Linked DNA regions of Lytechinus pictus. The protein of the gene in region 2 purifies or fractionates together with the protein of the main gene of each other region. This does not show direct contact. Links are inferred from orthologs where the notes say so. Each region holds a gene or a part of one and is shown on either strand. Other genes may lie near its edges.

What was found.
Region 1: the proteins of ubiquitin carboxyl-terminal hydrolase 36-like (region 2) and ATP-dependent RNA helicase DHX33-like purify together in Homo sapiens (affinity purification with mass spectrometry; 5 studies listed by BioGRID and IntAct, counting the BioPlex papers as one, with this or other methods). This does not show direct contact. The link is inferred for Lytechinus pictus from reciprocal best matches to the Homo sapiens genes USP36 and DHX33.

The regions. Positions count from the first base shown.
Region 1 is NC_087260.1:18,910,510-18,918,304, reverse strand, and holds the start of ATP-dependent RNA helicase DHX33-like, read right to left. Parts: upstream 3,252-7,795; 5' UTR 3,104-3,251; intron 1-3,103. UniProt on the Homo sapiens protein: Implicated in nucleolar organization, ribosome biogenesis, protein synthesis and cytoplasmic dsRNA sensing. Stimulates RNA polymerase I transcription of the 47S precursor rRNA.
Region 2 is NC_087254.1:19,789,672-19,796,884, forward strand, and holds the start of ubiquitin carboxyl-terminal hydrolase 36-like, read left to right. Parts: upstream 1-4,104; 5' UTR 4,105-4,123; coding exon 4,124-4,125; intron 4,126-7,213. Other genes in the region: uncharacterized protein LOC129269948, read right to left, coding at 1,706-1,906, 2,804-3,202. UniProt on the Homo sapiens protein: Deubiquitinase essential for the regulation of nucleolar structure and function. Required for cell and organism viability.

The DNA.
Region 1 (7,795 bases), on a different chromosome or scaffold from region 2:
AAGGCCGAACAAAAATTGATAATATTCATGAATTATGCAAACAAAAAATCACTTAAAAAACACAATTTTGCTCACCCGTTTCATATTTCCAGCATCAAAAGAACTTTTCGAAATTCGAAATCATGCTCGCAAAGAAAGAAATTTGATGTTTCATCGAATAGCGACGATATGAGAGAGAAAAGAAACCCCGGAAGTCAGATCCCGCAAAACTTGATCTTTTCAAGATGGCGACTTTTTTGGGGATGTACGAGTGACAAGATCGTCTCTGTAAAATGGATTATTATGGACCTCAAAGTACATGATGCAAGTTTTAAATGTAATTATTTTGTATACCATAAAACTTATTTCCCTTAAATACCTTTTTTATTTTTTTTAAAGTACGAGTTTTTGTCAATATTATGTAACTGATCTCCCCAATTTATCACAGTGACAGATACGAGTGTCGTAATCTCGAACCGGCTGTGATAGCTACATTATTTGTGACCTGCAACCCCAAAACCAACAATAAGCCGACCAAAATGAATATTGAGATTTTTATTGAGCTTGGAAATTCATTTACTATGCTTTAAAAATGATAGAATGTTAAAATTAAAAAATTGACCAACAATAACCATATTACAACTACAAGTAGCGTCTATAACGTTGGCAAAGAACAATAAGAAACAAGATGGGGGTGTAAACATCGAGCAAGTCTCTGTCTTTTCACATTTTCTCAATTTTTTAATGATTTCTTGTTTAAAAGTGAAATCAATTTCGTAGAAATGTCAGAAAAGAAGTTGTATTCCGTTTACATAATTTGATACTTGATAGAACAGAAAGTAGAAATCTGATCTCCGACTCTGGGGCGAAAGTTTCAGATTTTTTCGCGGTACACGCACATGAATAGGACGTAATCCCTGGCTCCATGGAGAGTAAGCATACGTTAGTAAATGATTTTTATTCTCTAGAAAAGAAGCCTCCTGGCTAGTCCGAACCAACCACGGGTACATTACCGCCGCCGTGCACAGGATAACCACTGGCACGGCACTTGCAATAAGTTTATTCCTCTTTTGTAAAAATTAGAAATAGATCTACAAGACTACATGTTAAATCAAGTAAGCTTTGGATATGAAACTTACCAAACGATATGAAGCCAATCTAATTTCCTCTCTGTCTTTCTGGTACTTTATATCGATGATTTTTCTTGATGTCGAACTCGAAGCAGGCATGGAGCTAATAGCCTAATTCGCTGGTTTTCTCTATACGCACAGAGGGCGCGCGATATTATTTAATGAACTTGCTTGTTTACGTCAGATCAGCTGTACTGCTGGTTGCGTTCTAGGCGCTCCGCATTTTTTTCCGCTGTTCAGCGTTATTTTATGATGTAGCGCCATCAGCGATTATACTTGAAAACTGAGATGTAACCTGTTGATTTTTTTGGTACAATTTCCTATTAATGCGCCGACGACTTGAATCTAAAAGTAGACTGTTCGATAGGAAAAATTCGCATTTCGATTGTTGTTTGCGTAATTTCCACCGCAGTATTAAGGATCGGACGGAGTATCTTGGCTGAGATTTGGAGGTGAGCGTTTAAAATCCCTTTACGTTCGAGCATATTTTTAAAATTAAATTTGGGCCTAGGCCTAGATGAATAAATTTAGACTTTTTTAGTATATTGTGAACAGTGAAGATTTTGGCGTGTTTCATCATTCTCTCACATTCGTGTGATGAATGAAAACGTCAAAATTCATTATGAAATGACATGCGTTGTGCGAGGTTAGTATACCCAGTTGTTGTGTGTCCGGACAGGTTGTGTGTCCGGACGATCAATTTTAGAAAGTCATTTGGAAAAATTTGAAAGCGAAGTTTCATTAATTTTTATTTTAGTACAAAATGTTAGGAAATATTATATAAAGAACACAATAGAAGATGATTACAAGTATTGAATTCATATTTTTAGTGTAATCCAAAGACAAAAAAAGAAGGCTTCAAAAATATAAAGTGTCCGGACACCCGACCCCCCATCCTACAGTACAACTAACCTCGCATGCTTGTGTGAGTGGTCCGAACTAGACCAAAAGCTTCAGTCTCTGTATTTTGGTTGTTCCGCTGAACTACGTTGGCTCCACTCACCATACATAGACTGAAGGGGATGGGGCCCCGTACCTACAGCCAACGTATAGTGAACTAGCGTTTTATAGATCGCGATTTAAAACTGTTTTTTAAGCAAAATTGAAAGTTTCATGGTTTCCATTATCAGGGAAATATAAATAAATTAAGTAATTGCATACCTTGGGCCGGAGTTATTGAAAAAAATCCTCTGGATGATTGAGAAATCTGTCATCTAAGACATTTTCACCTGACCTGACGGTTTTTCTTGCAAGTTGCCATCTTGAATGACGTCATTATCGTTATTAACTTAATGTCTCGAATCGATATATCGCGATTATAACTAGTACTAGTACTAGTATAACTAGTATCGTTTATCTTCGGTTTCGTTCGCATATGGAGCAGATCGTATAATATCGAAAGCAATATCGATATCACATTCGTGATTGTTGACGTTCGTTTGTAAATATTTTATAGTTTGGCTGCCATTTTGACCATTTTTATCGTGTTCAACCCAATTAAACATCGGTAAAGTATATTTTTCATGCCTTTTTCATCTATATCGTTTAAAGTATTTAAATGTTGGAATATAAATAATTAAAAGTTTGTTGTTTATACATCCTTACTTAGATTGTAAATTCGATGTGTAAAATTACATCAAACTTTGGACTGTGAATTGACAAAAGGGAGGGAATGAGAACACATGCGAGCCCACACGTACACCCTACCGTCGGTAAATGGGGATTACAGTAAAATGTCAGAAATTGTTGAATAAATCCCCAGAAACGACGGTTATTCCTGTCTAGGTCCGAACGTGAACGAGTCGACTCAGTCGAGAGCCTTTTTTTAATACGCATCCCATGCGACACTCCACGAAAGCGGCTACCCATACAATAACTGCACAATATGGTCTCTATCCTTCCACGCAGAAACATGCATAACCCACACTATCGAAATCCCCACTTTATTTCAGTTTTTCTACAAAAAAATCATTACTTAAACTTATTTTGGATACCTGTAGGTGAGTTTTGCACGTTGAAAGTTTCCAGTTCTAAAAAAGGGTGGAATAATCACTGTAATCCAGATTTTATTCGAGTGACAAAAACTGTAAAGAAGTTTTATTTTCTTCACCTTTTGTTTCGCTACCGCAGATGGCGCAAGTCAAATTAATGCTGAAAGAAAAAAAAACCAATCATCCAGTCATAGAAATGAACCCCCCCCCCCAAAAAAAAAAAAAAATAGTAATAATAGTAATAAAGTCCTAATTTGCAAACATGAAAAAAAAGAATGATTAGGAAATACATTAGAACAAATTGTTATCAATTGATTGTAGGCCTATCAATTAAACATTTTCTTTTTGTAAAAACACATTTTCATTTTTAATTTCGAGCACCTTTAATCAATATTGTCTGATATACATAGGATACGTCATCCCCCCCTTTTTTTTTAGCCTTATTAACTGCTCTTGTCAACTCACCTTGGCCATGTTGGCAAGAAAAGGGTGTGAAATAGCTGCACGTAATTTCAAATTGTTTTGTCAATGAAGTATCGAGAGAGGGGCTAGAACCTCTGGCTGGAATTCAAGAGTTGATATGACTGCTCATAAACCTTTCCATATGCGAGTAAGTGGAGCGGCCGAGCCAAGAATTTCTTGTCTCGATCTTTTTAAGAAATATAGGTCTTCTCTATAGAACACCCCCCCCCCCAAAAAAAATGGTTTATTTTAGCAGAAGAGGGGGGGGGGTGGCGGCGCCGTAACGGGATTCATTGCCATAAAGGGGGCAGAAAACTGTTTTCACCTTTGATGGGCTCTTGAATTGTGAAAAGTAATGAAAATAAATAACACCATTGTAATTAAAAATTAATGTCCAATTTTTTTAAAACTTTCATTCATTACATTGATACAGGGGCCGCGGAACGGTTTTTAAAGTGGGGGGGGGGGGGCTGAGCCAAAAGTGGGGGGCTGACCATGCAAAAAATCACAATCATATGGTAATTTTTACGTTTTTGTACACGGTTTTGGAAAAAAGTGGGGGAGGCTGAAGCCCCCCCCCCCCCAGCTACCCCCCCCCCCCGTTCCCGCTGCCCCTGTGATGGATCAGCAGACTACCCCCCCCCCCCTGATCCACCACTCTAATGAGCTGAATGTGAATAGCTGTGCCTTCTATACATTAGAGGAGCAATAAAAAACATATAAATGTTGTATTCTTAGAAGTCATTCTCATTAATTCTGGTCACTCTTGGGTGATGAAGAAGTTTCAAAGTTTTTTTTTTCTCTCCCGATATTTTTTTCCTTATCCTTTCTATCGATTGCCTTTCAAGTTCTTTGTTCATTCCCATATCCTTTTATTTTCACCTTTTCCGTTTTGTGTTACTTTTCTCCCGGCCCTCTTTCCCCCGTTTTCTTTCCCTCCCCCCATGCAGCTCCACCCCTATAGCCCCCCCCCCCCCTCTCTGTCAAATTCCCTCTCCTCTTCGATCTTCTCTCCAGGCTGTGCTCCCTCTCCCTCCCCGCACTGTCCTCTTCCATCCCATTTCCATTCTACCATCCCCTATTCACTCTCTCCCTTCCTCCTTTGGAAATCTCCTTTGCTCTCTCCCTCTCTCTCCCCTTCATCAAATATGTGCCCCATCCGTTCATTCGAACACGTAACCAATACCTCCATCGTGACCTCCATGGCACTCTCGTCATCTCTTTCTCTCACTGCCTTCGCTTATTTTCCCTCCTCTCTTCAAATCTAAATGGGAAATATGACTGTTCTCTCTCCCTCTGCTTTTTCCTTTCTTCACTATTCAACTTTTGCTGTTGCTCTATCACTCCACTTGAACACTTTACGATCGTTTCCAACATACTTTCATCTCTCTTCTTTTTCTCTTTCTCTGGGCATCCGCCCACTTCCCCTTCCTTTTCAACAACTTTAAAACTGGAAACCAGAATATTGCTCTTCTTTCTATCTCTCTCCCCTTTTCCTCTTCTCATTCTTTAAATTCTGCTCCACCCCTCCATCCAATTCATCTCAATGCTACTCCTCACTGTTACTCTCTCTCTCTCTCTCTTTCACTTATTTACACCCTTCTCTCCCTCCCTCTCATTGCCCTTGCCCATTCCCCTTTATTTTCAGCGACTTTAAACTGGAAGAAAACATACGGAACACCCCCACTGTCTCTCACCCCTCTCTTTCTCTCTCTCCCCCTCACTCAAACTTTTCAATAAACATCAAAGCAAAAAACAAAACTTTCTCCATTTTTTTTTCATGAAAAAGCTAAGATGACTTTATTATTACAATCTCGTACATCGCTACTTGCTTCCACCAAATTATTCGAAATCCCCCTTTATCGAAGAACTTTATGCAATAATACGAAAGGGAAATATACAAGAATAGAATTATTTTTATGATGCTTGTTATTGGTTAAACTCATAAATCATTCCCTCTGAATGAGGCATGCTATAATAATAATATTCAAACCACCACGTTATCATTTTTTTTTCTTTTTACACTTCCTCTCTAAAATCTTATAACCATTCTAAAGCTACTTCTGATTAGAAAATGGGGAAAGAAAATGATATCACCTTAGGCTGAAAAACGCCGGAGAATTTTCCATGTCATTTCCAAATTCTTGCTAAACACAGTTAACATAAGATATATCTATATATGTATATGTGCACTACAATATATTGCTTTTCTAAATTTTCACGACAAGAAGTATTTTACAAAGGAAGAGGGGAAAGAACAACATTCACAAGGGTACAACGTTGAAATCAGACCTTTATCCTGATCTCTTTTTGAAAGTTGCATAGCATTGGATCACATACATCACACCGCTATTGAAAAGTTAAGTTTTAATATATATAATATATATAACAATGATAGTGATAAAGCCTTGTTTCCACGACACAGACAACAATAAAAATGTTTCAGTGTAAACACAACAAAATAAATACATTCAAAATGCTTTTTCACTACTATACAAAGGTGGGTTAAAATAAGATGAATATCACTTCGAAGCCAGAAAAAATCAATATAAAGTACAATGTGTGTCATGAAATCAATTAATGGAAATTTGAAAACATGCTAAGTTATGTACATTACTGGCATGAAGTAGCCCACTATTCAGAATAATATTTACAGGAAGATATATTTCATGGTTTAAAAGAAGATGAGGTTTGAAGTAACATTCAATTAAAATTCAGAATCCATTTTTTTATTCTTCAAAATAAAAAATATTCATGACATCACAGAAGACATGCCATCTGATAAGTTGATGATAAAGAAAAAAACCTTTTTTTTAATCGCATGGCTTTTACCTCATTTGGCAAACTTTTGCTTGCGATGTTTCAAGCATCATCTCAACACTTTATCATGCTGCATCTGAAACTATGCTACACTGAAAAAACTCTGGTGTTGATTTACCACCAGCCCGGAATCTATGTATGTCCACACCAGAGAAGTGTTAAACACCAGTTTGGTTTTGGTCTAACACCAGACATGTTTATACAACACCAATTATCAAAACAGCATCGGTTTGATTCCAAACTGGTGTGGACCTAATAGATTCCGAGCTAGTGTTAAATTGACATCGGCAATTTTGCAGTCATCTACAACAAAGGTGTCATGAAGATTGCAGCCTCACAAGCAAAAGCTAGCCAAAACAGGTCAATTTTCCTGATTGTGAAAAACAGAAATTCTCATATTCATCGTAAAAATTCAAATTCACTGAACTAGTCCACAAAATGTACCAAGTCATTATAGTAATAGCACTTACAACCTTCTTGCGGAACTTACTATACAACATAGTATCTAGCTACCTTGGAGCTAGAAGACAATATACTGAAATAGAAATGAAGTTTCTCGAAGATGCTTAACAGTACTTTGATTTCATGAAATATATTTATCAAAATTAATTTGGATTTGATCTGTTACTACAAAATAGGAAGACGGAAATAATCTTTGCAATTTAAACATTCCAGTTACTGTTCATGGCTTCAATACAAATTTCAAAACTGTCCATGATGTACAAACTATCATAATGCTCTATAAAAATATCATGCTACTAGTTGATTAAGAGACAAATAAAAAGTGAAAAATCCTTATTTCACATAATGTATAAAAAATTCTAACACCTTGGTCAATTAAAGCTTGCAGTAGTTTAGATAACAAATGTACAAGTATGTCTTTAATCAACAAATAATTTGATTTGCCAATAGTAAACTAATTGTACGCAGAGACTGAAAATATCACACCTTGTCATATATACAGCATGCTTGCTTTGAAAAATGCCTCCACAAAGATTAAACATGGATCATCATGTGCAAAAATAAATAATATAGTTTTTTTCCAAATCATGTCAATTCATTTGATTCACCGGTATCTTTCACTGATCCAATGAACCTCTCCTTATCTCTTCCATACAAAGTTGGTTATGCACGACACCAACATGCAAACAAATCTGTACATTTTGGCATAATTTGAGAGGTCACACAAAGTTGACCTTTGTATGAAGACGCATAATCCTCTTAAAGACCAAGTACGACACCAGCATCCTGAAAAGTATGTTGAAAAGGCTCTGATGAGAATTTTTAAACGGACATGTCATCTATACAGACCTGAAATGATGTAGTCTTGCAATATTTAAATAAGAAGGGAAATGATGATAAATTTTTCAAAATGACAATACTGGGTTTAAAAAATGTAATATGGAACATGAT
Region 2 (7,213 bases):
TTTGTGGATATACCTTGAAATGTATATTGAAGTCAGATGGATTTGTTTTTCTTCAAAATTCTCCTTCCCCCAACAAGGGACAATAGAGAGATAGAGAATGGAACCCTTCAACTATTAAGAACTACCATAGTAATCAACACATTGAATAGGGGCAACAAGGGAAAGACAAAGACAAATCACAGAGTAAGCTCTTTTAAAAATACTTTTTATCAAGTTTAGTATAGTTTAATGTTCAAAATACAATGTTCATACAACATTTCTCATTTATATTCATAAAGTACTTCATACATGTGTTTCACAAATATAGTTAACTTGCACATGGTGTCACATGTATCATGAAGCATGTTATATCCAAGTAATCTGTCAAACACTTGCCAGATTTACTTTTTACCAACAATCAAACACATTCAATTTAATTAGCATGATTACATAATTCCATACATCTTTTATGATTTCTTAAATGTTTTCACTGTTTCTTTGCTAGATTGTCTGATACTAATAACATTACCAAGGAAACTTTGCAGGCACCTTGATACCTCTCAGATCATAAGACATGCAAAACTTTGGCTTCATGATTGGAAGAGAACTTTTAATATTCAGGTAAAAAAAAAGCAATTGATCATAAGGGGGAATCCATTCCAATACAACATACCAAATCAATGATACAAAGAATGAACTGTGTCCAAACAAATCTCCAATTCTGTCAGGCTAAAAGTAAGATATCAATCTGCAAAACACACAGCACTTTAAAATAGCCCTTCCTCTCAGAAAAGTAATATTTATATAACAAAACATAATCTTGGAGTATACTTTGTGCGGTAGAAAGAATTCAACAAGACCCTGTTGTGTTGGCTGAATAAATAAAAAAGAAAAGGGGCACACAAGGTTTCACTATCAGCACACTAGCAAAAATTACAAATACCGGTAACATTTGTGAAATACCTATTCTGTTGGTGTTGTGAATGCTTTTTTGTAAGATGTTTTTTTCTTTTACTACAAGAAAATATATAATTATTAAATTCTAAGCATTTGTATCAACTCTGCAAAGTGCAATATAGCCTAACATGAAACTGAGGCTGATGAGTGAATTGGATTTAAAGAGGTAAGCAAATAGTAAACACAATAGACTGATAATAAATGGACAAGCAACGGTAAAGTTGTTTAACCCTGAATAGGGGATCTGAATATATGATAACTTCACAATGGAGTGCTTTATCTCAGCTGGGAAGAAATTCCCCCAAGTAAATGCATTAACAATATAGAGCAATTAAAATTTATTCAAAATTTTCGGAACATTATAGTTTTCATGGGTTCTGCGTTTGTTGCAAAATTGCTTTATCATCTTCAGGTATCTTTATAACATATAGCTAAATTTATCTGGTGCCGAGACAATTGCAATTTTTGTCTGCTGAATGGGACGATACAAGTGCCATTATGGAAAAATTGCATATTTGATGCAGCAATTCCAAATCCTGTAATAATAAGACTCTAAAATAAAAGCTATGGCGAGGAATGATGCCCAATGCCTCATAGCTATAAGAAAATGGTAATGGAAAAACTAATAAGTCTTCCTTTGATGTTATGACACCCTAACATACAGGTCATGTTAAATATTAACATTAACAATCATTAATTTGTAATGTATTCTTTGAAAACATCTGACTTTCCTTGAACAAAATTAACCAATACAAATTCTAATTGACATTCAATCTTTCATACTCTCATCAATCATTGCCTCTTGTGCTCGGAGCTCCTCCATCTTGAGTCCAATGGTTCTCCTCACATTCCTCTCCTGCTCCTCGCTCAATTTCACCATCAGATCCTCAAACTGAGACAGCGTTTCTTGAACAGCCTCCTTGGCATCTTTGAGATCATCATTGAAGTAGACTGTGCCTTTGGCCTCCATCTGCAATTAAAATAAATGAAACTTTCATAATTCATCACATTAGTAGCACCCCATAGAAAATTATACACACAAAAAGAAGTACATTCTACATAACAAATCTGTTTTTCATATTGAAAGATCAACACTTCAATCTTCAAGCTCTTTACGATTACAGAATGTGTACAACCTGAGGGGTGAAATGTAAAAAATAGATGAACAAACAAAACTAGACACACATGTACACATTAAAATCAACTAAGAAAAAATATGCATCTAAGTTCTATCCCAAGATACTGTAATGCGATTCAAATATGATGTACATGTATATGTAAACATGCCTTCAGTTATCAGTTCACACAAACAAGGACGGACCAAATAACAAGTCTATATTTACATCTAATGAAGATAGTATTAGTAAACGCTACTTTTCCCTTAAATTGATGTAAACATATTCTCCAACACACTTGACTATCAGTTTTGTTAAAAAAACTTTTCAAAAGATAAGATCTGAATCTTTTATTGATCAATAGATATGTTACTTGGTAGGGATGTATTCCAACTTATATTCACAACCATGACATGTCTCCCACAGATATATCAAAATGTCTCTAACTTTTAGAGGGTCTAACTTTTTTACACTTTTTTTTTCCATGGGAAATCTGTTCATTAACAGTTCATACTATTTACTATGATCAACAGGTTCCCCATTGGAAAAGTGTCATAGTAGATCTAATGAAATTTGTCTTTTTTGCTTTTAAAATAAGTCATGAAAGTTTTTTGGGATGAAATCATGTCCATCAGTTTTACTGAAAACCTTCTTTTTGCTTGTCAAATTTTTCAGGCACATTCGCATCCTGGACTGACAATGAATAAAAGTGACTCTGACTCTGGATCCGTATCTGTTCATAATACACTTACAGCATCTTCCAAGAGTTCTCTTGTCTCCATAAATCTGTCAGTCAAATCGTCAATTTCTCTTTTTAATTCCTTTTCAGTTATTCCTGACTTTTCATTTGAACTTGAAGAAAATTCTTGGGAATAATGATCCAGAAATTTAAGTCCTCTTGCTCTGCATAACAATTGTCTGTTGCACACGATGATGTCATTGTTGAAGGGTAGAAACTTTGAAATAGTTGATACCCTGTCCACCATCAGCCGTTTGCTGCTGCTGTGAACCCGTGATGAATGGCCACCTAACGTTACATCCGCGCCCGCTGGCGCTGGCCACGTTGGCGCCGCAGACCACGGACCGGAAACTCGCGTTTTCCTCCCGAGAAAACACGGGGCCGACCGGCGGATCAAGGTGGAGGCCATCATCACCGGAGGCGGAGATACAGCTGCAGCTTGCAGATTAGCTCGATGGATTAACTTAGACTAATAAGTTAGTCTATACATGACATACGCAAGTAAATCAAATGAATATTATGGGAATACAATGCTTTATTATCAGTAAAGTCTACGCATTAATCAAACACTGAAAAACTAAAGAGTGTCTGACTTGGCCCCGGGCTTGGCACAAAACTGAAAATTATTGGCCTCACACATGGACGCTGCCATTTTGTGTGAATATGAGGTTCAAATATATATCATAATAATGTGCTTCACTACCGTAAAAAAATATTCATCTCCCAAATTACAACTATTGATAAATAAAAATAATATAAAAATATTATTATATGAATATTGAATCTTTGAAAATTACTTTAAAATAATTTATGTTAAAAGAGAATATAAATTCAAGTAACTCTCGTTTAATGGCTTCCGCGAAGGATATGTTTACGGTTGAATATGTGGGACTGATTGTGAATAAACCCTGTGTAACATTGACTATTTTGGTAAGTAAATGTCACTATTAAACTTTCCGATTATTATGAAACAATGAACATATCGATTTTTTCAAGGAAAATGAGACTGCTATTTAATCAGATAAAGAGCTATTTATGTTTTTACGTGTAACATGATGATGGTGGCGGACGTCAGTCGTGGACAGTGCCAGTGGCAGTGCATTTTGTCATTGAATATGTACGCAGTGTGATTTGTGCACATGCGTTAATGTACACAGTGCAGTGCAGTGTGAGTGAGACGACGAGTGCATGCTGCATGCATTATGCCACTGCCAAGGCAAGGGCCACAGTGAGCATGATGAGTGTGAGGCTGTGGCAATGACAATGCGGCATAGGCATAGCTCAAATAGCGAAGAATTTAATACAGTGCCAGTGGAGGTAGAAGTTGAACTTGATGTAGGGAGTTCGGTGACTTTTTCTGAAATCTTGATGGAATCCCAACAGATTTGATACCGTTGGAAAGCTTGTGAAATAATAAAAATAATGGTGCTTCTATCATCAACTCATTGTCTGATATATTGAGGGAGATATTCCAATTTACAGGGGAAAATATGCAGATTTTGTTCTGTCAAAAAAAAAATTAAATGCTTGTTTGAGTGGGGAGACAGAGACATTTTGAAATCTTGAAGGAATCCCAACAAATTTGGTAACATTGGAAAGCTTGTGAAATAAGAAAAAGAATGGTGCTTAAGTTGAATCAAATATTGACAGAGATAAGACGAGAATGTGCAGATTTTTCTGACAGCAAAAGTAGATTTTCATAACTTACACAAAATGCAATGAATGGGACTGTGTAATCCCTTTTTTTAAGTGCAATGCGCTGCTATGCGTGGCAAGGCATGCCCTTGAATAATACATCATTTTATTCATAAAACTTCAAAGTTTCGGCCAAAGTTTCTTTTGGTATAGGTTTCTATATAGTACATGGTTTTTCCTCCCCTCCTTTAGTGGCTTCATATTTGTTTTGTACATGGGTGCACAGACAGATACAAATTCTGAAAGTGCTGGTCCAAAAATTGGGATTGTCCTAGACCAAAAGCTTCTGTCTCTGTTATGTTGGTTGTTCCGCTGAACTCTGTTGGCTCCACTCACCAAATACAGAGACCGAAGTTTAACTTGTAGCTCGATCTGTACAGGGACTCAATGGCCATAAGTTTACACATGTACATGTATGTGTTACGTTCAGATCAACCAGGGAAGTGGGAGTTTGGAAGTGGGAAGTCACTGTTTTTCCCCTTTTAAGTTTATTTTTCCTGTTTTGGTGCATTTCAGGCTAAAATGGAAAAATAATCTTTATTTTGGTACAGTTCTTTTATATATTTTTATGAAATAAAGACAAAAATTGATGAGCCCCGTCGGGGAGATTTTGTATTGTTAATCCCCTAATGGTGGCTGCACAAGAGCGAGCCGTCTGTGTACAAGGAGAAATAAAAAAATGATAAAAATGTTTAAAAAACTCCTCGTAACGGACGGCTGCCAGCTGTGTAGGATTGTCCCAGCTCAGAAAACAATTATGATATCCTCATATTCATAAACAAGTCCTCCAAGACAAATCATGTCTTGATAAATTGAGACTGTCCTTCATGTCCTTGTTTATGGGGACAGTTTTTTTTTTCACTTACCCCTGCGGGACATACATGTAGGCAGTTTCGGGGATTGAGAGTGCTAAAAATAGATTCAGTGACCTTAATTCCCCCCAGTTCACTTCCTTTTTTTCACGACTTGCCATCTTCCAATAATCTTGTTATGAAACTTGATATGTTTACATTGACTAAGTTAGCTCACTTAAAGTATACATCCAAAGAATCAAAAGTATTTTATAATGACTTTATGTGGTCATCATTGTAAAGGGGAAGTATTACTAATCAGATATATAACTTCACTTTTCAAAATAGTGATCAGAGATTGCAGAAATCAGCTCTCAAAAATGATTTATTTTCATGCCATATTTCTGCCTTCCACCGGTCCTCTTGCGAGCTCCAGCTGAGTGACGTCACACAATGAGCAGTGAGCAGCTGAGCTGACAGCAGCCCATTGGAGACGATCTTTCCAATCAGCGTTTTTTGCTCTTAGAATTGTTTATTCCTCTTAAGATTGGTCTTGTTATATAGATAAAAGTTTGAATTTACTGAACAGTGAAAAAAAGTGCACATTTAACGTATTTTGGTGACCGATATTTAGCTTAGAATTTTTTTTTTTTTTTCAAGAAATATAGGTGAATAAACAAAGCATATTTTCACGTAGAAATCACACTTGCGTCACATTAATGTTATAGTCAATATAAAGCATAGACATTCTTCTTTATGACTGAACAAAAATTATGAAATTTCATTAAGTAGCAAAGTCAGGAATCACAAAAAAAACACGGCAATATCCATCGCGAAATGACTGAAATTGCAGTTGAATTGCCGAAGCATTATTAGGAAACAGCGGCGAGCGGACTTTCTTTCATATATCTTAAAAATGCCTTCCTGTTAGGGCGATGGTCTGTGGCCAAATGCGTTGGCCATTGTTTTGTCATGTGCGAGGACCCTGGTTCGAAACTCGGATTTTTTTTTTTCTGGGTATTTTTTTTTTATTCCTTCCCCATCCCTACCCATCTTTTTTTTCTCTTTTTATTTTCTTGTGAAATTCTATTCAGACCTGTATTTATCAAATCTTGCTTCTTAATTGCTGCTTTTGATTTTCAAGTTCTTGATTAGATTATTTCTACTCTTATTTGGGATGGGAGGGGTAGAGTTAAAAGTCAAGTCCACATCAACTAAAAATTATTTGAATAGAGTGATTTCCCTTGTTGTTTTTACTCAAAACAGTCATATACACAAAACAATGATATGCAAATTAGAGTTGTCACTCACATCACATTCGTTTCTATTTTTTGTGGCATTTTGTTTTTTATTCTTTGCAGATTTGACGATAGGAAACTCTTCATCTGATCACAATAGGTTATATTTACGGAACTGTTAAAATAGTAATTATATAAATTTGAATCAAAGTTTTTATGAAATTTCCTGCAATATCTTGTTATTTTTCTTTAAATTCAAATGAATTTTTGATTGCGTGGACTTCTCCTTTACTCTTAATGTAGGGAATGCATAGCAAAATTTATCCAGAAACAAAATTGTCTTAGAATATGCAAATCAGTAATTGGACACATGTTCACTTTTCTTTCATCCAGGCCACTTCCTCACATCCACCAGGCTTTCAGTCTGATGATGAACCATCACACAACATTCACAGTGCTTCACAATAAATATTTCACTTCTGTTCATACATGCAATAAATATTGTGGAAAACAAATAAAAGGCGTACCCATATTCAAATACCGTTTAAAAGGACAAATATATTATACCTTTCGAGAAAAATCAGCACGTTAAATATCTGATAACAAAACATAATTATGGGGCACTGCAAGAAACTTATGTTCAATTGCAAATCAAGCGTAAGTCTTAAATTCAAATTTAAGCATAATAAGGTCGAGTTG